4 linked regions of the Neodiprion lecontei genome follow. Each later gene encodes a partner of the first gene's protein in a complex. Links are inferred from orthologs where the notes say so. Each region holds a gene or a part of one and is shown on either strand. Other genes may lie near its edges. The genes, in order: transcription initiation factor IIE subunit beta, general transcription factor IIF subunit 2, DNA-directed RNA polymerase II subunit RPB3 and general transcription and DNA repair factor IIH helicase subunit XPD.

The links.
Region 2: transcription initiation factor IIE subunit beta (region 1) and general transcription factor IIF subunit 2 share a complex: the UniProt entries of both Homo sapiens proteins name them as parts of the TBP-based Pol II pre-initiation complex. The link is inferred for Neodiprion lecontei from reciprocal best matches to the Homo sapiens genes GTF2E2 and GTF2F2.
Region 3: transcription initiation factor IIE subunit beta (region 1) and DNA-directed RNA polymerase II subunit RPB3 share a complex: the UniProt entries of both Homo sapiens proteins name them as parts of the TBP-based Pol II pre-initiation complex. The link is inferred for Neodiprion lecontei from reciprocal best matches to the Homo sapiens genes GTF2E2 and POLR2C.
Region 4: transcription initiation factor IIE subunit beta (region 1) and general transcription and DNA repair factor IIH helicase subunit XPD share a complex: the UniProt entries of both Homo sapiens proteins name them as parts of the TBP-based Pol II pre-initiation complex. The link is inferred for Neodiprion lecontei from reciprocal best matches to the Homo sapiens genes GTF2E2 and ERCC2.

The regions. Positions count from the first base shown.
Region 1 is NC_060261.1:43,445,210-43,449,157, reverse strand, and holds transcription initiation factor IIE subunit beta, read right to left. Parts: upstream 2,331-3,948; 5' UTR 2,194-2,330; coding exon 2,132-2,193; intron 1,993-2,131; coding exon 1,728-1,992; intron 1,588-1,727; coding exon 1,378-1,587; intron 1,298-1,377; coding exon 977-1,297; 3' UTR 501-976; downstream 1-500. UniProt on the Homo sapiens protein: Recruits TFIIH to the initiation complex and stimulates the RNA polymerase II C-terminal domain kinase and DNA-dependent ATPase activities of TFIIH. Both TFIIH and TFIIE are required for promoter clearance by RNA polymerase.
Region 2 is NC_060262.1:4,432,732-4,438,196, reverse strand, and holds general transcription factor IIF subunit 2, read left to right. Parts: upstream 1-1,891; 5' UTR 1,892-2,069; intron 2,070-2,115; exon of another isoform or gene 2,116-2,174; intron 2,175-2,249; 5' UTR 2,250-2,254; coding exon 2,255-2,403; intron 2,404-2,512; coding exon 2,513-2,664; intron 2,665-2,852; coding exon 2,853-2,942; intron 2,943-3,072; coding exon 3,073-3,197; intron 3,198-3,283; coding exon 3,284-3,427; intron 3,428-3,534; coding exon 3,535-3,690; 3' UTR 3,691-4,336; coding exon of another isoform or gene 4,337-4,394; 3' UTR 4,395-4,564; coding exon of another isoform or gene 4,565-4,715; 3' UTR 4,716-4,785; downstream 4,786-5,465. Other genes in the region: DNA polymerase delta subunit 3, read left to right, coding at 1-1,365; phospholipase A1 VesT1.02, read right to left, coding at 4,337-4,394, 4,565-4,715, 4,786-4,974, 5,072-5,317. UniProt on the Homo sapiens protein: TFIIF is a general transcription initiation factor that binds to RNA polymerase II and helps to recruit it to the initiation complex in collaboration with TFIIB.
Region 3 is NC_060264.1:23,015,991-23,020,131, forward strand, and holds DNA-directed RNA polymerase II subunit RPB3, read left to right. Parts: upstream 1-1,993; 5' UTR 1,994-2,201; coding exon 2,202-2,287; intron 2,288-2,509; coding exon 2,510-2,654; intron 2,655-2,733; coding exon 2,734-2,941; intron 2,942-3,047; coding exon 3,048-3,254; intron 3,255-3,340; coding exon 3,341-3,525; 3' UTR 3,526-3,601; downstream 3,602-4,141. Other genes in the region: structural maintenance of chromosomes protein 3, read right to left, coding at 1-153, 232-391, 554-712, 930-1,108, 1,202-1,277, 1,351-1,365. UniProt on the Homo sapiens protein: Core component of RNA polymerase II (Pol II), a DNA-dependent RNA polymerase which synthesizes mRNA precursors and many functional non-coding RNAs using the four ribonucleoside triphosphates as substrates.
Region 4 is NC_060266.1:18,325,576-18,333,610, reverse strand, and holds the start of general transcription and DNA repair factor IIH helicase subunit XPD, read left to right. Parts: upstream 1-2,010; 5' UTR 2,011-2,141; coding exon 2,142-2,149; intron 2,150-3,560; exon of another isoform or gene 3,561-3,740; coding exon of another isoform or gene 3,741-3,745; intron 3,746-3,836; coding exon 3,837-3,936; intron 3,937-4,659; coding exon 4,660-4,914; intron 4,915-4,990; coding exon 4,991-5,224; intron 5,225-5,453; coding exon 5,454-5,577; intron 5,578-5,759; coding exon 5,760-5,856; intron 5,857-5,975; coding exon 5,976-6,109; intron 6,110-6,240; coding exon 6,241-6,770; intron 6,771-6,860; coding exon 6,861-7,036; intron 7,037-7,223; coding exon 7,224-7,503; intron 7,504-7,620; coding exon 7,621-7,731; intron 7,732-7,839; coding exon 7,840-7,938; intron 7,939-8,035. Other genes in the region: odorant receptor 83a-like, read right to left, coding at 1-79. UniProt on the Homo sapiens protein: ATP-dependent 5'-3' DNA helicase. Component of the general transcription and DNA repair factor IIH (TFIIH) core complex, not absolutely essential for minimal transcription in vitro.

The sequences.
Region 1 (3,948 bases):
TTACAATTAGAGATATTGTAACGAATGATTTACGACGGGATACCCTGTATGTCCGTGGAGCTGAAACGCTTTCGTCGTTATATTTCAACTATTACAATTTATATTAATGCTGTAAAATAATCTGGTTGAAGGTTGTATAATTTGTGTAAATCGTAAGTTAAATTATTATACCCTAAGGTGCTGAAGACTTGACTTAGTGCCTTTAAGATCGATATAATTACCGTCGTTAATTTTACTATCATTCGTATTGTACTCAAATACTACGCTTTTGGAGTATTTTAATTGCCACTACCAAATAAGATCTTGCGGAAACTTGAATCCCGATGATCCAGCGCGCTAAGACAACAATCCGAACCCATGTAATTGGATCAAGCATTGAATAACGTGGATATCAGGAGAAAATTGTTTAACAAGCGTTAGAACAGATTAATCTTTGAATACACTTTGAACAGTTCTAATATATCAATGCAAATCACGAATCATGCTTTTTCCATTTCGCACAACTTGGCCGTGAGAAATAGAAAGCAAATTGCAAAGTTGCGCGAAAATCCTCGAAATCTCATGTCTGAAATGCACTTTCTATGGAATTCCATGGTGGCGGAAAAAGTATCAACGATCGTCGTTTGATACTTTGTTATTTTTTAAACTTTGTGCTACAATATACTTCGGTTCAATCATCATACCTATGTAGTCGCGAATACAACTAGGTAGACTTCCGATGTAACTAAATATTGCAAGACGAGAGGCTTATTGGTCTTTAATATATTCATTCAGAGAGAGGAAAGAAATGGCAATTGAAATATAGATGAAGCGGACTAGTTATTGTTCAAAATATTATAGATATATATTTATTTTGTACTTACAAGCTAGTTTAGACGATAACAATAATAAATCACATTGTTTATTTATTCTTATACAAACGATATTTACAATCCTTGATTAAGCCATCTATCTATAAAGTCTTTAAATTTCGGCTTCATTTATTGTCGTCGTAGGTTTCCAAAACATCTGCCAAATGCTCGTTGTCTCGTGGTTTTTTGAACTGCTTCTTCCTTGCGTTTGGTTTTTTCCTTTTAATGGGTGCAGGCTTCTTTGGTCCGTGATCCTGCATCGACCTAATTCCCTGTTTCTCAAGGTATTCATCGATCTTCTGATCGTCCATTGCGTCGACTGCAACAGCCCTCCACAATTTTTGAAATTCATCGTCGACTATAAATTGGGCCGTTTTGTCGTTGTAGAACACTATCTTTTTCTTATCCAAAGGTCTTGTTATGAAGAGTATTTCGTTCTGGAGACTCTGCGCATCAGTAAGATAAAAAATAACACGATTTGCACCAAAATAATAGCTCATTAATATCCTGAGGGAGAACGATTTACCTTCAGAGCTTTGTCGCAATGCGGCAAACTCTCCTGAATGTCTTCAAGCAGGATGCCTCCGAGTCCCTTAAGATCCTGCTGCTTCAAGAGTCTGAGTAACGATTTCTTGTCTTTTATTTTGTACATCGCTTTGAAGGAGAATCTTCCATCTGGAGAGACTTCGATCTTTGGATTGTTAATCAACGACTCTGTCAGCAGCCATTGTTTTACCTGCACGAATAAAGAATGGTAAATAGAATTACTGGTAGTATAGTTGAATTTTAATGCAAGCTCTGGCTTTAGCACGATTTATCTTTTGATTGAAATAATCGCAAGTATTTTTAAGCAGTTCTACAAAATGTTTGGATCACCTTAGATCCGACGTCGAGCTGATTTGTCTCGTCTAAAATCTCGTCGAGGGTGAGAGGATGGTCATCGCCCTCCTGATGCCGCGACTTCATGTGCTTAACTATTTTTGCCAAGACTCCGAATCTGTACTGCGAACTGCCAGACATGGTCTTGTAGTTGACCATGTCCAACTTCGGCGCGGCAGAGGAGGATAATGGCTTGCTCTTTTTTTTTGGCGGCTCATCACGGATCGGTTCCTTCTCGGGTTCTCTCTTTTTTTTCTCTACACTGAAAGTGTTAAGAGGCGGTTATTTCTTAAACTAAGCACTTCAGAGCCTTCCAATATTTTTCAATTCTTCGCAATGCGGTTAATTCACAGTTTCTCACTAATTTACAGGTTAGAAACGCGCAGCGTTGTTTTACTCACGTTGGTGTGGTGAGGGCTCGCTTTTTGAAGAGCTCTCGCTCCCTTAACAGCGCTGGATCCATTTCGTAATTCTTAAAACTTCTACCGTACGAGTTTATCACGGATATAAATGAATTTAACAAGTCTGCCTTTTAGATAGTTTACACTTTGCAGTTTACACCCTCAAAACAGTTGACAGGTGCGTTTCTAACGTTTTTCGCCTACCAGCGCCCTCTGATACGAAGAAGTTCGTGAACTAATTTTCGTTGGTAAGCGAATGTCGATATCGAAAGTAGTCGATAATGTAGAGTGCATTTATCACGGGGAATGCTGGTGGGTGGTTGAGAACTAACAGACGATAAACATTAGCGAACTTAGATTAATTGTCAGTATACATATTGACTGTGTTATATTATGGTGATCAGTGATTCGAAAGGGGAATTCATCTCTGTCCGCACGTACCATTCGCGGATTACCTTCGTGATACTTCATCTCTTGGATGTACTGTTATCTCTGCAGCGTAAGAAATGCGCCTGTGCCTGCTGGCGACGGCAACTGTCTAAGCACGGTTCCGACACGACGGCGACTTGATTCGGCAGCTTCACGCCGTGTCGGCGGGAAAATTGGCTCATGAAAATAGATACCGACGCAACGGTTGATTGCCGCGCGTTGAAACCCACGTGATTAGGTCAATGGATCTCAATTACATTTTCATTCGAAGAGTTAAAAAATCTAGGATTGTTAATTGAAAGTGTGAAAAAATGGAGAATATCAAATCTCTCGTTGAATTATGTCGAGAAAATGCGAAGAGGACACAGGGGTATTGTTTATTTATTGATTGTAATACAGGTTCCATGCAATAGTAATAATACAATATCATACATATCGTATCCTGCAGATGTATGTATGTACATACATTGCACCTGTGTGTAGGACAGAACTTGAACCGTACTCACAAACTACAAAAATAACTATCTCATACAACGTTTTTCGTATTTTGCTTGAAGTGATGTATATTTTACTTCTTTTTCCTCCTAGTCTCTTTGTCTTTCACTTTAATATTACTTGGCAGCTTGTTGAACACAGACTGTCTACATGTCTATAGATGAATACACTGACACCTGAACACTTGTACGAGAACTAAGACACATTGGATAAACTGGAACTGGAACTTTGTAGCTGTGAGTTTGTGATTTTGCTTTTACATCTCTTTGAAAACCCGGTACAAAATTCATGTTCTTTAGCCGTAAGTTTTTATGCGTAGCTGGCAGCGTGTCTAGACTGCGCAATGGATTCGTCTGGGAAAGTTAAGTCGAGATGGTGCACTGAAAAAGTAATTCAACTATTTTACAAAGTCAGACAAACTCCCACTGAAAAAATCCAAAGAGGTTAGTCCTACTTTTTGAACCAAAAAATCTTTTGTCTCAAATTGATTTGTTTGATGCCTTCTAGATTAATCGGACCCCCAAAAATGCAGAAAATATGACATCAAAAACAGCGTTGGACTAGCAGCAGAGAAATTTATAAAAAGACTTTCGGTTTTTTGACTCTACGACGAGAAAATTGCTACATGCTCAATACATAACGCAATCACCGGTAGTTGCGTATAGCTTCGTGTTTCTTATATCATATTTGTTGAAAATCGCTGTAAGTTTTCAATCGATATTTGGCAGTAATAATCACCAGTTAGGCAATACATAAGGTGGCCCTATACTGAAATAGTCGGTGGCAGTTTTCCGACTATTTTCATTGCAAGCAGCGGGTGGAAGTTAATACGAATATCGTTAATTAATTCGGAAAATTCCTTCTCTTGCGATCTTTTTCGACATTTCGCGTGA
Region 2 (5,465 bases), on another chromosome or scaffold:
ACTCAACGAGTGCAGAAAAATCATGTAATCAGTGCGACTTTCCTGCTCATGGGATACGTCAAGGAGCGAGAGATGCGAGTCGAGGTCGTCAAAGAGGATCATATGGCATCTGCGAAGGAGAAATTTGAAAAAATAATATCCGAGCATATTTACAGCTTGCAAAAAACTCTCCCTGAGATAGAGCTACTCGCCATTACTGACAAAGGCGATTCTCAATTGAGCGCTGTCCACTCTTCTCAGTCTGTTCTCAGGTCTGATCATGAGATGGAAGTTCTTCGTTGGGGTAGCGCCTTGTTAGCGAATAAACAGATGAAAAACAATACTCAGATTACAGCTCCGAAAGTTCGGGCAAATGCGAATACCGAGTCGAAGCTTACTGATCAGGCCAAGAATGTCAAGGAGTCCGGTGCTAAATCGACCACAAATAAAACAGCAGCGGCTAATTCGAGTGCAAAAACACAGAAAACTGCCTTCAACAATTTTTTTGCTAAGGCCATAGATAAGCAAAGCAAGGAGAAGACATCTGTGAAAGGTGTGAAGAGTAAACCTGTTGCGTCAAGCAGTAGTTTGACAACTACTTCACCCCATAAGAATAACTGGTTCGAGGAGAAGAAGAAACCTATTAGTTCGGACAACAAGGAGGCAAAAGAAAATCCGGAGAATATTAGCGATTCAAAAAAGCCTAAACTTAATGAAGACAAAGAAAAATCTCCGAAAACTAATTTACCGAAAAAGAATGCATGGTTTGAAGCAAAGAAAAAGCCTCCAAGTACCAGCGACAAGGAAGCAAAAGTACAGGTGGAGAGTTGCAGCGATTCGAAAAAGGCCAACGTAGAAAAGTTTGAAGAAAAATCACCACAGACTGAAAAAGTTAGCAAACAAGAATCGGCGGTGAAAAATCTCAGCTCTGGGAAAACTGGCGATAAAAAAAAAGTAGCATCTTCTTCACGAGGAAAAAAACGCAAGACTTCTTCAAAGGGCGAGAATACTAATAAGAAACGAAAACGTATAGTTGTGATATCTAGTGACGAATCAAGTGATGACAGCGAGACTAGGGATGATATTGAGGAACCTGATAGTTCTGAAGAACCACCGCAAGTTGTTGAAAGAGTTAAAAGTTCTCCTTCGCCACCTCTGGTCAAGTGTGAAGGCGGGAGGCGCAAAGTTCGGAAATTGGTCGATAAAACGTTTGTCGATGAAGATGGGTATTTTGTCACTCAAAAAGAATACGTTTACGAAAGTTGTTCAGATAAGGAAGAGGAAATGCCGGTAGAGGCTGCAAAACCTTCTACCGCTGATGTTGCAGCAAAGACTGCTAACAAGCGGAAGCAAGTATCGCTGCTTAATTTCTTCAAGAAGTCGTAGTTAACTAATACGTGGAAAATGTAACTGTAATGATGAATTAAAATATTCGTTGAATATATGCAAGTCATAGACGTGAACTATACTGTACATTACTGAATTTCAGCGGGAAAATATGAAATTACTCGCAATAAAGATAGAATATTTTTGATTCGTATTAAGGAAAGGAATAAGGAATTAGCGATGCTTTCTTTACAATCAAATTATGGAAAGTTATAAATTTTACGTCTATTATATTTGTTTCTGTCGTAATCTTTTTTTTCCTGTTACCTGATCAAACCCCTTTTTTTTTTTCTTTCTTCTTTTTCACGAATCCAGAACGTAGAAGTTGTGCAATCACAAGAACTGTACATACCGAAGAACAAATCTGTTATTTTTGTTAATAAATGCGCATGATATGTTTAGGTAGGGGTTTACAATAATACCGCGATATTTGAATACGTGTAAAAGCCCGGCGTTGACTCTTCTGGTAAGCCGTTCTCACTGCTGCCAAATATAATAACTAAATTTCCCCAGAATTTCGTAAAAGGTAGTCCTTTCAATTTTTACAACAGACTATCAGAAGCAAGTGTTTCTGTTGTATGTACAATTTATTTTACCTCTATTTAAACAGTTATTTACAGAAGATAAGTATAACGGAGTATTACCCTTCATTTCGCCTCGTTAAATACTGAAAGTCTATAATTATTGAGGCCATTTGCAACAAGGTAAGCAGTGCCAATATTGAAATCTGGCCACTTTAATAGTCAGTTTGGTTAGGTTTGAGATAGTTAATGTTTGTATCCAATATGCAATAAGTAATTAGGTTAAAGGTGACAGAAACTAGCGTTCGACCCATAATTGCCAGGATGAATGCGAGAATGGAAACTGAAATATTTTATTTTCAGGTATCATGTCTGCACCGCCTCCTCACACAGACCGAGAATTAGATTTGAGTAATGCAGGACGAGGAGTATGGTTGGTTAAGGTTCCTAAATATATTGCGAACAAGTGGGAAAAGGCTTCCGGAGATATAGAAGTTGGCAAGCTGAAAATCACAAAGTTTGTTAAAAATGTTAAATTAACCGAAGATCGTTTACGATTGTAGAAATGACAATCATTCCATCGCTCCACACCCTCCCCTTGATCATGAGGGTTGTTTTATCCGCAGAAATCCAGGGGCCAAAGCAGAAGTTTCTCTAAGACTTTCGGAAGCTGTTTTAGCTCTGAAGGAACGAGAGGAAGAGGAAATTCCAAAGGCACACCGGCTGGATGTAACTACTGTCACTCGTCAAATGCTGGGTGTATTTTCTCATGTCACACGTGAGTGTGAACAATTTTTGTGGCTGTATGCTTTTCTTTCAAAATCACTAAAACCATTAGCTAGTCTATTATTACTTTGATCCTAGAATTGCTCAAAGTACGAATTAATAAATTAGGACAATGCAGCATGCATTCTCTGGCTTGAATCTATGCATCTACTAAATTGTCTATTCCAATGATTTTTACAGCTGCTAGCACTTCGGATGCTATTGTTCCAGAGACTGAAAAACTTTACATGGAGGGTAGAATAGTGCAGAAACTTGAATGCCGCCCTTACGGTAAGTATGGGTGATTCAGAATCGTTGAACCTTGACTTTAGTGGCAAATTTTCAGAAAAGTTCAATAGATTGAAATATTCTTCCAATCTTCGACTGCGTTGTTAATTTAAATTCGAAATTACATTTTTAGCTGACAACTGCTACATGAAGCTTAAGTTGGAAAGCATAAAACGAGCATCGGTGCCTCAGAGGCAAGTTCAACAATTGGATAGGGTTGTACAGAATTTCAAACCTGTATCTGATCACAAACACAACGTAAGTTATGAATGTAATTGTTGAAGAATTTTACCGTGTTTTCTGTTTGTCTTTATTTGGAGATTTTATCTGCATTATTTTTACAGATCGAATATGCCGAAAAGAAGAAGGCTGAAGGCAAGAAGATGAGAGATGACAAAGACGCGGTATTAGAGATGCTATTTGCAGCATTTGAGAAACATCAGTACTACAATATTCGAGACCTTGCCAAAATCACCAGGCAGCCTATCGTAAGTTATGCCACAATCTTATAAAATTTTTTTGCAGACATATACGATTTTTCTGAGAATTGGGGAATTACACTTTTGCAATGATTCATGAAAAAATTGATTTACAGGTTTACTTGAAAGAAATTTTGAATGAAGTGTGCAATTACAACTTGAAGAACCCGCACAGAAATATGTGGGAATTGAAACCTGAGTATCGTCATTACAAGGATGATCAGAAGCCAGCGGCAACTGCCACAAAAGTTGATGACTCAGACGATGATTAGTACTTTGTTTTATATACTTTTTTAGAATGTTTGGACGATTTGCTGCCTGTGATTTGCTAGTTCAGATCTTGATTTACTGAGTTCACTGATTACAATCGATCAACTCATAGATCGATGCAATTTCTTAAATGGAAATTTATTTGATTCGTAAAGGCGTTCCAGGAATAGCTTCGGTGAATTTAAGCAGAGTTTGTGAGATAGTAAAGTGATAAATCGCGTCCCCATGGAATAATTCTTCTATATCGACGCCAGGCAAAGAGAGAAAATAAAAGACTTTCTCTTGTCATAGGATCCAAATAATAGGGAAATTTGCGGAAATCCGCATTGGATGATTTGTAAATAGTGATATATTGTATTTATTTTTACATCAATCGTTTAGATGCGAAGAGAGAAGTTGAAGAAGCAAAGACTTTATCTCAGATGTAGATTTGTTCATATTGTTACTCGACATAAGTTTCATACGGAAATATTAAAGAGAATCTACAAATATAATGGTGCGTAGGAGTAAAAAATATATCAAAGCATAATGAAACGGTAATGCACTTTAAAAAAAATTACATTACAGTATATTTAAACATATATATATAAGATACAATTACACCAGCCATCATGCTCTGATTTATAGAAATCAAATCAAGGCTTCTGCTCATCCCAAAGCATAGGGAGACTGTCTGGCTGTCTCAAGAGTAAAGCTGCCTCTGGCACTGCAAAAATAATGTTAATCGCTCATTAGTTCCGAAGCTGTAATGGCAAAGCTCCAAAGTTTTTTTCTCTTTATTGTAACTGGTTTGATACTAATAATTCTCGGTGGACATACACAAGTATCTCCGCAGCTGTTTTCTGTACTAAACAAAGTTTTTCTACTCGTACTTACAATTTGTTAAAAACTCTACCACCCATGTACACTTCGTTGTGTCGGTCAAGTGCTTCCAGGTACATTGAACGTGTTCCTGTGGCACGGAAACCGGTCGGGTTCCTGATAGATTCTGCGAAGAAGTAATAGGCGCGGGAATGGGCGCAGCTCCCTGTAAAGGATAATGTGTTAGAGTGCTGCGATATGCGCAATGACAAACTCTCAACTTGTGCGAAACTTACCGACAAGGTCCAGTCCGCATCCAGGCTGACTGCTACCGCCGTTGGGGTAAAAATCGGTATCACCAATGGCATCCATGATGCCGAGAAGTCCTCCATTTGTGTGGATTATCTGAACATGGTCAGCGTCAGTTTGGTGAATTCGGGATCCAGCTCCAGCAGAGTTAAAAAGAGGAAGCGCTGGGTCGAGACCTGTGAAAATATTCGTGCAATGATGAAAAACGATTCCTTGTGTAAAGAAGACCGGATTTTCGAACGAGTTAAAGAATCTCATCTGCCTTTTACTCACCTATGACAGCGTCGATTGTGCCCTCAGCGTTGCGGGCAGCAATTCCAGACACGTGAGCACCTAGAGAGTGTCCAACGAGTTTCGTCGATGCTACGTTGAGGCCGGCGTTGGCGCTGAGGAAGTTGATCATCAGACTAACTCTGGCGGCAACACCTCTGACGCTTGATGAAGCACTCACGTAAAGAGCACCAGCAATGGAACTCCAATCGATCACAATCACGTTGTAGTCGCCTTCAGCTAGGTAGGCTGAGGATAAAAACGAGGAGATATGAACACAAATATGAACACAGGACTCAACGATGTGAAGTCAAATTACGTCTTAGAAAAAACAATTTTCCTGTAATTCTTACAACCGGTGTGAACTTAGCATCCCCATCATCTCTATGTCAAAAAC
Region 3 (4,141 bases), on another chromosome or scaffold:
TAGCGCGTGACTCTTCCAAGTCTTCCAGCTTTTTCTTACTTTCCTTCAGCTCGCGTTCGTGGATTGTGTACTCCAGACACCGCCGCTGTTTGTCCCAGCGTTGGTACTCCTTCAGCTCCTCCTTTTCCTCCTCCAATGTCTTCAAACGCTCCTCTGTAAGGTTACAAGTGTGTGAAATCATGAGATTGTACCACCTTTGGGGAATGTATAACTACAATCGAATCATCTCACCTATGGTTCGCAAAAAGTCTTCTATTTTCTCAAGCTTTCCTTCAGTCTCTTTAAGGATCGCCTTTGACTCCTCGCGTCTATCGTCGTAGACTCGAGTGCCGGCCACTTCTCTGAGCAATTTCAACCGCTGCGAGTCTGGGGCCGTTGCCATTTGGTTGATCTGATGAAAGTCAAGGAAACAATCGATTTCAGAGAATGAAATTATATTAGTCATTCCTATAAAATTCTGAATACACAATAATATCGAATGTAGTTAGTATCATTCGGATTATTTGACATTTAGCAAAATACAAAATATACAAAACTTATTATTGGCGCATACCTTTCCCTGCTTGACGATGTAATATGGATTGGACCTGGAAAATCCAGCCGATTCGAGCAAATTCATGACGTCGCTTCGCGTCACTATTTTCTTGTTCAGAAAGTACTGATCTTTTTTCGACCCGATCATTCGCCTGAGATAAACCTCATCCTTGTCGATCTGTAAAGACAGTGAAGCCAAAAATTAAACAGATATTTCTGCAAAACAACTTCGTATCTGGATGATAAATTAACCAGAGAATAAAAAACAACCAACTGCCAACGTAATGATCGTTATCTTGTTTCAATATAAATTTTAGAAAACTGTGCAGCCTTGTGTGCTCCAAGGTATAAGCCAGGAAGCGTTAACCTTGCTGATGTGGTGTAATAAAACCCACCGGAAGACGTCCATCCGAGTTGTCAAAGATAATTTCGACATAAGCAGAGATGACGCGTGGACCCGTGCCTTCGTGGAGAAGGGCTTGACGCTGCTCAGGCCGAAGGTGGGAGAATTCGTCGCTAAGCACAAACTGGATAGCGTAGAAAAAGTTGCTCTTGCCCGATCCATTCCTGCCGACTTGAACAAGTAAAAATGTATAAAAGGGCTGATAGAATCATGAAATCTGAAAGACAAAACTAAAGGTACGGAAAGAAGAATATCTCTACTCACCGACCACATTGTGCCTCGGATCGAAGGGCACTACAACGGTCTGTTCTCGATAGGATTTGAAACCTTGTATGATAACCTAGAAGAAAATGCAACGTTATCATTCAGGATGATTTTCGAAATGACTGCAGTGAGATTTGAGGGCGGCTTACCTGTTTGATGTACATGTTAGTCTGCGAGCTGGACGATCGTTGGGTCCGGTTAGCTCACACAGTGTATTCAGAGTGACGTTTGATACCCATCACAACGACGGATCGACGCCACACGAAAACGGCGCGTCCGGGCGTTATTCTACCGGCTTATTTTTACTGAGGGTTTTTTACGCTTCGGGGTATTAATCGGGCTCCCAAAAATCGTGTTTAGAGCGTACTTTTAACACAGAGAAATAACAAACACGGTGCGTGGACACACTCAGGTTTGCCAACTGTTAACCATTTCGGCGGGAGCGCTGAAAACTGCGTCGCCTCCGATAATGCACGAAGGTTCCCGAACGATACCAAACCATAGGCTTAAAGTAGCTGCGCGCTCTATGCACCACTCAGGCATTGAAATCGTGCAGTCTATCACTGATGAAGCACCGCAACCCCCTGACACACGCTGCTAAATGTGGTTCGCAAAATGTCCTTCGATTCTGCCGCTAATTTCCACCACTAGTGGCGCTAGTAGTGACCTAAGGAGCTTGCGCGCGGTCAGCAAGGGCAGCGAGCGTGTCAGAAGTCTACTAGCGCCACGTAAAGGAACTAAAAAACGGGGACAAGACGCGTACAGATTTTTAGTATACGAGCAGTGGTGAGTGTCAGGGGCATGATGCACCGTATCTTGGTGGCCATCTTGCGTTAACCTATGGGATTTTTTGGAGCTAACGGATTATTTCGGCACACATTCTACTTCAAGTGACCATTGAACATTGAATAACCGTGCACAAATGACAAGTTTGAGTTTATTGCGAAAACAGTGGAGTGTTTTTGCATTTTTGCATTAATTGAGAATAAAATAATACAGAATGCCGTACGCTAATCAGCCTTCGGTTCATATAACCGATCTCACAGAAGAGAACGTTAAATTTCAGGTAGAAGACACCGAACTAAGGTAAAAAAACAAAATCCTAACCTAACTCGACGTGTTTTAATCAAAACGATCTTCTTATAAACTCGCTGTATTTTTCAAATTTTTCGGAAAAATTTATGATGTAGCTGTAAAAATTTGCCTTAAAAAATTTTATTCGCCATTTTTGCCACCTGCTTTTTCAGTCGCTTGACAAAACAGACTAGCGTTCAATCTCATTATAACCTCGTATGTTCTGTGGTGCAGCGTAGCCAACAGCATGAGGCGAGTGTTTATTGCCGAAACTCCGACAATGGCCATAGACTGGATACAGCTTGAAGCGAATTCAACAGTTTTAAGTGACGAGTTTCTTGCACATAGGATTGGAATGATACCGTTGATCAGTGACGACGTGAGATCGATTTATTTTTGAAACCATTTCTTGCTAAGAAAGAACAATAGTTCTACTGCCTGTTCATTTGTTTTCGTAGGTGGTTGACAGAATTTTATACACAAGGGACTGTCAGTGTATGGATTTCTGCCCTGACTGCAGTGTCGAATTCACACTGGATGTCAAGTGCGCAGAGGATCAAACTAGACATGTGACAACAGCCGATCTGAAATCCAGTGACCCCAGAGTGCTGCCAGTTACTTCGAGACACAGAGAAGACGATGCAAGCGAATATGGAGAGACAGATGGTTGGTTTACAGTTTTCATGACCACTCTGTTTAGTTTGTAGCATTAATAAGTTGCTTTGATATCATAAATTATTCCTACACAATGTTTTGATCCTTTCGTTTGTAGAAATACTCATCGTCAAACTGCGAAAAGGCCAGGAACTAAAGCTGAGAGCTTATGCAAAAAAGGGATTTGGAAAAGAACACGCCAAGTGGAACCCCACTGCTGGTGTCAGCTTTGAATATGATCCAGACAATGCGATGCGTCATACATTGTTTCCCAAGCCCGATGAGTGGCCAAAGTCGGAATATACTGAGCTCGATGAAGATCAGTGTAAGAGTAATTAAATGAAGAAAATTTTAACTTACTTCAAACAATTTGTGCATCTACACGCAGTTCTTATTTTTTTGTATGTACAGATGAAGCGCCGTTCAACTGGGAAGCGAAGCCTAACAAGTATTATTTCAATGTCGAAAGCAGTGGTGCTCTGAAGCCCGAAAATATTGTCATGATGGGTATAGTTGCCCTGAAAAACAAATTGTCTAATCTGCAGACACAGCTGAGCCACGAAGTACAAAATGACGCACTTAGCATTCATCACTAAATATCTGTAATAATTTATCCCCACAAGCACTCAAACTATCGATTTAATAAAAATAATAATAACAATAAAAATCATAGTAACTGTTGTTCTATTTTTTCTTTTATAGTTCAGAATTTATACCGAAACAATAATACCGTAGCGTATATGAGATGGCGTTTCATCCTCTATGGATGTGAAATACTGTTTACTTATCTTGGTACAATTTAGCGATGGCCACTAAGGCAAAAATGATTAAGTCCAAAATATAATCTAACGCATCTCGATTGAATCAGTAAAAATTAATCGATTATGTCGTATTTTCTGAAACGGTGCATTTGAAATCAAAATTCGTAAAGTTTGGTACGTAGTCTTGAAAGCGAAAAAGTTTTTTTGATAATTCATCGTTTTATTTCAAACATTTAAAAATTATTGAAAAATTTATAAAGTAGAAGAGATATAAAAAAAATTTTGATATAAAACCTGAAGTCGTCTCATCTTTAAAAAATAGCTGTTTAATGTAACAAGCTTCCTTGTCTGGGTTCAAAGCAAACATTCTCTCGTTGTTCACATGAATTAAGTATCTATCTGTATCCAACCATTTTGAACTTGAAAACCTTGAGCGTTTGCTGGCTCAGTC
Region 4 (8,035 bases), on another chromosome or scaffold:
CTTCCGAGGATAGCGGCCAAAACGACAATCCTCTTAAAAAAATACTTATGTACCACAGAGAAGTTTCAAGCTTGATCATAATTCTTAATGAAATTAACGAATTGACTGAGGAGAATGGAAAGAGTTCGAAATGGAAAACGGAGAACTGACCATGAGTTTTCTCAAAACTTCCAATATATTTGAGACAGCTTGAACTGTTTCTCAGATTGCGTCTTCTGGACATGCCAGGTGATGGCTGGATGAAAAATGCAAGACGAAATCATACAGTGTGAGGGTTGACTGAGAAAATTGCTGTTGTTGCAAGTCAGGAGGAAAGACCTATTATTACTGGCCTTCGGTCATCCTGAATTATAGAGGATGTAGTTGAATTCTAAAGCTTTTATACCTGTTATTTCATGTCACCTGCGTATTCATGACTATCTTACAAGTGAAAGAACTATTATTTCCGTAACAGCTCGGTGATATGAAGTTGGGATTCCCACTAGGCAGAGATGGAAACAATTATCTCCTTTACCAATCTAATACTTTTACAGTAAAAATTGTTTTATTCAATTGAGGAAAAATTGATTTTCTCAATAGAGTAAAATCAAACGTCGGAGCATTGCACATAGTATGCGAAACTACAGAATGGGAGGTCTTGAGTTCAAATGATGGGTCAGATGAATCATGTCGAACAGGTGCTGAATTGACAAGCTGAGATTTGAACTCGGCATGGCCACACTTGGGGAAGGTTTTTCACAGTTTTCCTTATCCTCTGTGTGAATGCGGATGTTTCTAATAAACATCTTAAAATGACAGCAGACACATAATAATGGTCACTAACCGATGCCTGTCTCACCCTGTATAAGCTGTCCGATTATGAGTACATACACACATATGGCGGGACTGAACGTGATTATTATTATTATGTTATAAAAGAAATTGATGTATATTGACATAATCGTTTTACAAAAAGATATCCATAACTTCATGTAAAAAATACATTACATACAAAATTATTTTTTATCAGACTGCTACTAAGATGAAAAACATGTACTTAGGAACACCAAAATTAGAAGTAACCATACTATAAAAAATATGTTTAGCAAACGTGAATGAATCATCAAACATTTTAACACACTAACTCCAGATTTCCTTGGAATAGAAACTTTTCGTAGACTTTAAACGCGTCACTTTGCCTTGTTTTGACGATGTGAATGCTTATGTAAGAAATTTATAATTGTGCTACAGATGTTAAATTCCTACTAAGTTTTTAGACTAGCTTTTTTATATGAAATTTTAGAGGCAATACAATTATCCGGATGACAATTCACTATCTGATTTCTTTCAACAAGTTTCGTGCGTCTTCCATTACTCAGGTGACCAGAAGAGCTCAAATCACTAGCTGATGGACATTGGAAATTTGCATTGCAGATGAATGACGAACGACTATTCCTCGAAGGTTGCGTCCACCGAGAATCCCTGTAGTGCCTGTGATGTTGAGAGACTTCCTCTGCACTTTGGTTATTAATCACTTTCTCCTTGTTAGAATTTATCCTCTCCTCAGCAAGCAGACTCTGAATGTTTGTTTGAGTTCGAAGCGCATGTGGCAATGACAGTTCGCGCAATTGGCATGCGACACTTTTGCCTAGCAAGTATAAATATGACAATTAGCCCATGGAGAATGTACAAAAAAACGTTAGTATTTTGCAAGAGAGTCTTTTAAACATTTCAAATTATAAGATTTTCTTACCAAAAGCATCAAATTCATCGCCATACTTTTTTTGCGACTTGTGTTTCTTGATCGAATTGGTTATGACTTGTGACTTTACTTCTGCGTTCGAAGCTCTGATTATTGAACAATCGCCAGAGGTTGAAAATGAACTGATATTCGGAATGGATTGCAAAGCTCTAGGTGTTTGCTGCCTGATAAAGTCATGTTGCGAGGCAAGATTAATTTTCTGTTTTAAAGGTACAGCATTTTTCGTCAACTTTGTTGGGGATATGTCGAGATTGAGTTGAGTTGGAAAATGTCTAACACAGCTGGGACACTGGTTTATTGGACAGCAACGTTGCGAATATAACAACGACTGGGAGGTGTGATGGTTGAATTCTTCTGGCTCACCATTATTCGCCTCAACATGTAGCGAGCTATCCTAGACATGCGAAGGTAATTTGATCAGAATAGTTATATACATAGGAATAATTTTTTTCAGTAATTGAACTTTAATCCTGGTAATAAACTAACGGCGTTAGAATCCTGTTCTGTGATATAAGCGCGTAAAAATTCGTGGATCAATTCAAACCAAGTGATTTTTGGCTTGTAGGGGAATCCCCGGAAGTTAGCATCGTTGATCTTTACCAATTCCATGCGATAGATTCGCTTTATTTGCTTTATTCTGTCGCGAACCTCGTTCACGGTCAGATCGCGAATGTTCAGGTCTCGAATTATCCCCAGGTATGCGGTGTACCGTGCCTCCAAATCATTATACGAATCACTATCGTGTTTCCACAGGCATTCGTGCCGAATGTACGATAAAACTAGTTTGTAAACTCGCGCCTCTGTCCATTCTACGGGCATTTTAACCTAGCGGAAGCTGACATTTACATCAACGTATAATGCACAATTTCGAAATACAACGAACGCGAAACGAAACGTATCGTATTACAATTCAATTTCAAAGTCTGTCACATCTAGCAAAATATCACAAACGCGGGTTAGAAATAACTAGTTAAATATTCGAAAGTATTTTCCAATGTACGAATCTGAAGTTCTGCAAATGTTTTTGTTACCAATAATTTTTACAAAACATGGGTACCCATTCCATCTTCATTTTCAACAGTGTTCTCAGTATTTCAAAAATTCTATCTAAGGTTTTCAAATATCACACAATCATACTATTTTACTGAAGCAACAGTTATAGTAGTGATGTTGTCATCTGCATTTGTAATACAGTCTTTGCATGTAATTTTTCGATACGATTTCGACTAAACTTCTCTATAGAAATCAATTTGATGCACTAATCTAATTTCATGTAGTCAAGATTCTTTGGTGCAGACTAGCTTCCAGAGATTCGCCATATCACGTATGGTAATACCCATATAAGTGGCTATGTATGTACATACATACGCTAATGTTAGAAATTGAAGTTCATTCATCCGACCAGCAGAGCAGCAAACGCAAGATGTTTTTGGCCGTGTTCGAAAATTGACTGACAGTACTGTCAGCAATCTTTCATCTCTTTTGCGCTTCCAAGTTCATGGATAGCTCTGACTCTGTCCTAGGGAATTTTCAGTACTGTCAGTCAATTTACGAACACGGCCTTTATAAGCAGTGCAGCTGCGACGTTAAATTACTAGGGGTGTATTCCGCCAGGGAACTGTGGCACACTTTGGCAGTAAATGACCAGTAAATAGTACCAACCGCTAGTTAGAAAATTCAAAATATACTATTACTGGACTGCCACAGTTTCCTTGCGGAATACACCCTAGACAGATGTTAGTAACATCTAGTAAGTTACTAAACTGCTGCTGGTTTTTGCTACTCATGAAAGTTCACCTTAATACCTCACCTAACTTAACTGTCACATTCAGAAAAAAAACTAACCTAATCTAATCCTGATACCCTGGATTCGCACGAGCGGTCGGCAACCTGACGCATGTAAGCATCGTAAACGTGAACTTTGGAGGCTATAAACAATAAGAACCAGTGAAGTAGATTTGTTATAAATGTGGCAGAAAGAAATTCGTAAACAACAAAAATGAAGTAATTATCTGGGTGTAATTTCGTTATCAAACAATAAGCAACGAGAAAGTATTCCGTATTATGAAATAAACTTGGCATCTTCTTCTTACAGAATCAGTGTCGACGGATTGATTGTGTACTTCCCCTACGATTACATTTACCCGGAACAGTATGCGTACATGTTGGAACTCAAGCGAGGTCTCGATGCTAGGGTAAATCTTGCCTTTAATAACGAGATATCACACCCCATATTAATAAGCAGCTTACAAATTCGCCTTCTTAACCTCCAAACTGCGTTTCCAAACTTCACAATTTATCTTACGATATAAATATACATTATTTTATTATTTCTCTGAAGCTTGCGAAGATTTGATCCTTCAAAATATGTTTATTCATGTAATTTAAACACTTTGAAGGAAAACTGATTCAATGATTTGCCAAGAGATTGATTCCTCCAACTGATGAGTAAACATTCTTTAAGTTAAAAAGTTTTCAATGTCTTACTTTCCATGCATATGAATAATAAAATCATTGTAATTATTTGGAAAAACAGTAGAATGCTTGTTTTTAAGTGAGGAAACTTCTAAATATTGCTCATGCTCTCATGCAGGAAGAGCTTTTTTTAAATGCCATACAACAAGCTATAAATTTATTCCTTTGTGTTTAATAACTCGCAATCAAGCTTTGTCAATTTCATGAAGGTTTAAGAATAATTCTTTGTAGTTGAGACACATTAATTAACAGAAACTTTGTTGGTCTTTCAGTGCTACTTTCATGAAATAGGCTAATCCTCCTCAAAGAATTCAATGATTAATAATTTTTAATACCATCATTTGAAAAATAATTACACGTATCAACAAGCATAGGAAAGTAAATTATTAAAAATTATCAAATCAGTTAAGGCGTCTCTAATATAATGAATATATATTCTACAGGGTCATTGCCTCTTGGAAATGCCTTCGGGTACTGGAAAAACTGTGACATTACTGTCACTGATTGTGGCTTACATGCTGCAAAACCCCTTGAAGATAACTAAATTAATATACTGCTCACGTACAGTACCGGAGATAGAGAAAGTCATAGAAGAATTAAAAAATCTTATAGAATACTATGAAAAAGAGGATGGAGTAAAGCCAAAACTTGTTGGATTGGTGCTGAGCTCTAGGAAAAACATGTGCATACATCCAGAAGTTCGTTGAGTATATTATTCATTCATTTTCTAATAACAAAGAATCAGCTGATTGATAAGATGATTATATTTTTCAGATAAGCAGGGAACGTGAAGGAAAAATTGTTGACGGTCGATGTCATTCCCTCACTGCCTCGTATATAAGAGAAAGGCATAATTACGATGAATCAACGCCAGTTTGCAGCTTTTATGAGGGATTCGATTTAGAGGGACGTGAACAGATTGTGCCTGCTGGAATTTATTCCCTGGATGACCTGAAAGAGTATGGAAGAGACAGGAATTGGTGTCCATATTTTTTGGCTAGATTTACGGTTGGTCTGTTAATTATTTAAGTTCATTGATCAATTAATTTATTAATTTATAAACCTGTTTCTTTACTCGTTCTTTTGAAAACAAAATTTTTGTTGTCATATTATTGTCACCACTTCTCTCTTCTTATTTCTTGACTTGAACAATGTATATTTTGTTTTACATAGGACTGGAACTGTTTGAATCATGTGGTCCAGTTACAGATTTGAAAACTTTTCTTTTATCTTTCAGATACTGCAAGCTCACATCGTTGTATACAGTTACCACTATCTTCTCGATCCAAAAATTGCTGAAACTGTATCTAAAGAATTGAGTAAAACATCTGTTGTAGTTTTTGACGAGGCACACAACATCGGTAATAATTTTCTATTTAATCAAACTTTTAAGAACATACGTGCATACAGCATACATGGGCATAAATTGAACACATGAAACAAATGGATATACAAACTACATCGTATTGTTAATGATATTGGGGAGCCAAAAGTGTGGCCACATCCATTGTACTTAACAGAAGATTTTCGACATTATTTTCAGACAACGTATGCATAGACTCAATGAGCGTCAAAATAAACAAAAGAATAGTTGAAAAAAGCACGGCAAATATACAAATTTTGGAGAAAACTGTGGCTGAGTAAGTTAAACCAAATCACAATTAGTTTATATAGATATTAAGTTCCAAGTTTCACACAAATTTTCTAGTTCATAAAAACCGACATTGCTCTTTGTTATTCGTTCATTTATGATTTTCAGGATGAGAGAAGACGACGTGAATAAATTAAAAGAGGAATACAGTAGATTAGTTGAAGGCCTCAAAGGTGCGCAAACGGCAAGAGAAACTGACATTATTTTGTCCAACCCAATTTTGCCAGATGAAGTACTTCAAGGTAAGTCTAACTTACATGAGTAACTTTCATCCGATAAATCAATGAAAATGTTGTGAAATGGTTATATTTTCTTTGCTTTACTTACGGTGAGATATAGCGCTGATTAAAAAATGCATGTATCTTTTTTCCAGAGGTTGTTCCTGGCAACATAAGAAATGCCGAACACTTTGTTGGATTCTTGAAGCGGTTTGTAGAATACCTAAAAACAAGGCTTCGAGTGCAGCATGTAATGCAGGAATCGCCAGCTGGATTTCTACGCGACATCCAGTCTAAAGTTTGCATAGAAAGAAAACCCCTGAAGTTTTGCGCGGAGAGATTGGCATCGCTTTTACGAACGATGGAAATTAGTGATGTTACAGATTTTTCGCCTCTGATTTTGGTCACGCACCTTGCCACTCTTGTTTCCACGTACACAAAAGGTTTCACTATCATAGTCGAACCATTCGATGATAAAACACCAACGGTTCTAAACCCAATTCTACATTTTAGCTGTCTCGATTGTTCTATTGCTATGAAACCAATATTTGACAGATTTCAGTCAGTCATTATCACCTCGGGAACACTTTCGCCCTTAGACATGTATCCAAAGATCTTAGATTTTCATCCTGTAATCATGTCGTCGTTTACCATGACTCTTGCAAGACCTTGTTTGTTACCAATGGTGAGATTTCGTCTTTGCATATTTTACAGTTAAAAAAACAATGCAGTACTTCATTCACGATGACCGTTCAATCGTTCAATTAATTTTCAGATCGTTGCCAAAGGTAATGACCAGGTAGCGATATCATCTAAATTTGAAACTAGAGAAGATGTCGCCGTGATAAGAAATTATGGACAATTATTGGTAGAATTCTCAGCAGCTGTACCAGACGGTTTAGTCTGTTTTTTCACCTCTTATTCATACATGGAATCTGTAGTTGCTGCATGGTAGGTAGTGAAGAGAATCTAGCATAATAATTGAACACATGTGTGAATTTATGATTAAAAAATATTTCGGCCCGGCCGAAACGTCGGAAACATGTGGTTTTTTAACCAAATAAATTAATTACAAAACTGACCGGATTTCGACTAAACATGATTCAATCATTAAAAAATATCGTTATGTTTTTTTTAGGTATGATCAAGGAGTAGTAGACCAACTTCAGAGGCACAAATTACTCTTCATCGAGACACAAGACTCTGCAGAAACAAGTTTGGCCTTGATGAACTACATAAAAGCATGCGAAAATGGACGTGGAGCTGTTCTATTATCCGTAGCTCGAGGCAAAGTGTCAGAGGGGGTTGATTTTGACCACCATTTAGGAAGAGCTGTTCTTATGTTCGGTATACCTTATGTTTACACTCAGTCCCGGATCTTGAAAGCCAGACTAGAATATCTACGAGATCAATTTCAAGTTAGTATCAGAAGTTTTGTCATTTTAAAAGTTATGACATACCTTGGATTAAATTTTCAGTCAGGTTTTTTCTAATCTATCAAGACATAAAATGTGCAATTTTTCTTTAAATTTCAGATAAGAGAAAATGATTTCTTAACGTTTGATGCAATGCGGCATGCCGCGCAGTGCGTTGGCCGAGCCATAAGAGGCAAAACTGACTATGGTATCATGGTGTTCGCGGACAAGGTACTGTACCTTAAAGTTTTTTATAATTCATCACAGATTGGAGTTCCTGTCGATAAATGATAGCTTCTACGTTGTTACTGAAAATGATTTGGTTTACAAACTTTTCAGCGTTTTTCAAGAGCGGACAAAAGAAGCAAATTGCCCAAATGGATTCAAGAACACCTTACAGACAGTCTTTGCAATTTATCAACAGAAGAAGCAATACAGGTTCTGAAATGACATCAATTATAATCTCCTGAAAATACTATAGATATGAAATGTAATCCTGAAGATGTTATCTTCGTATTATAATCAATAATCATCG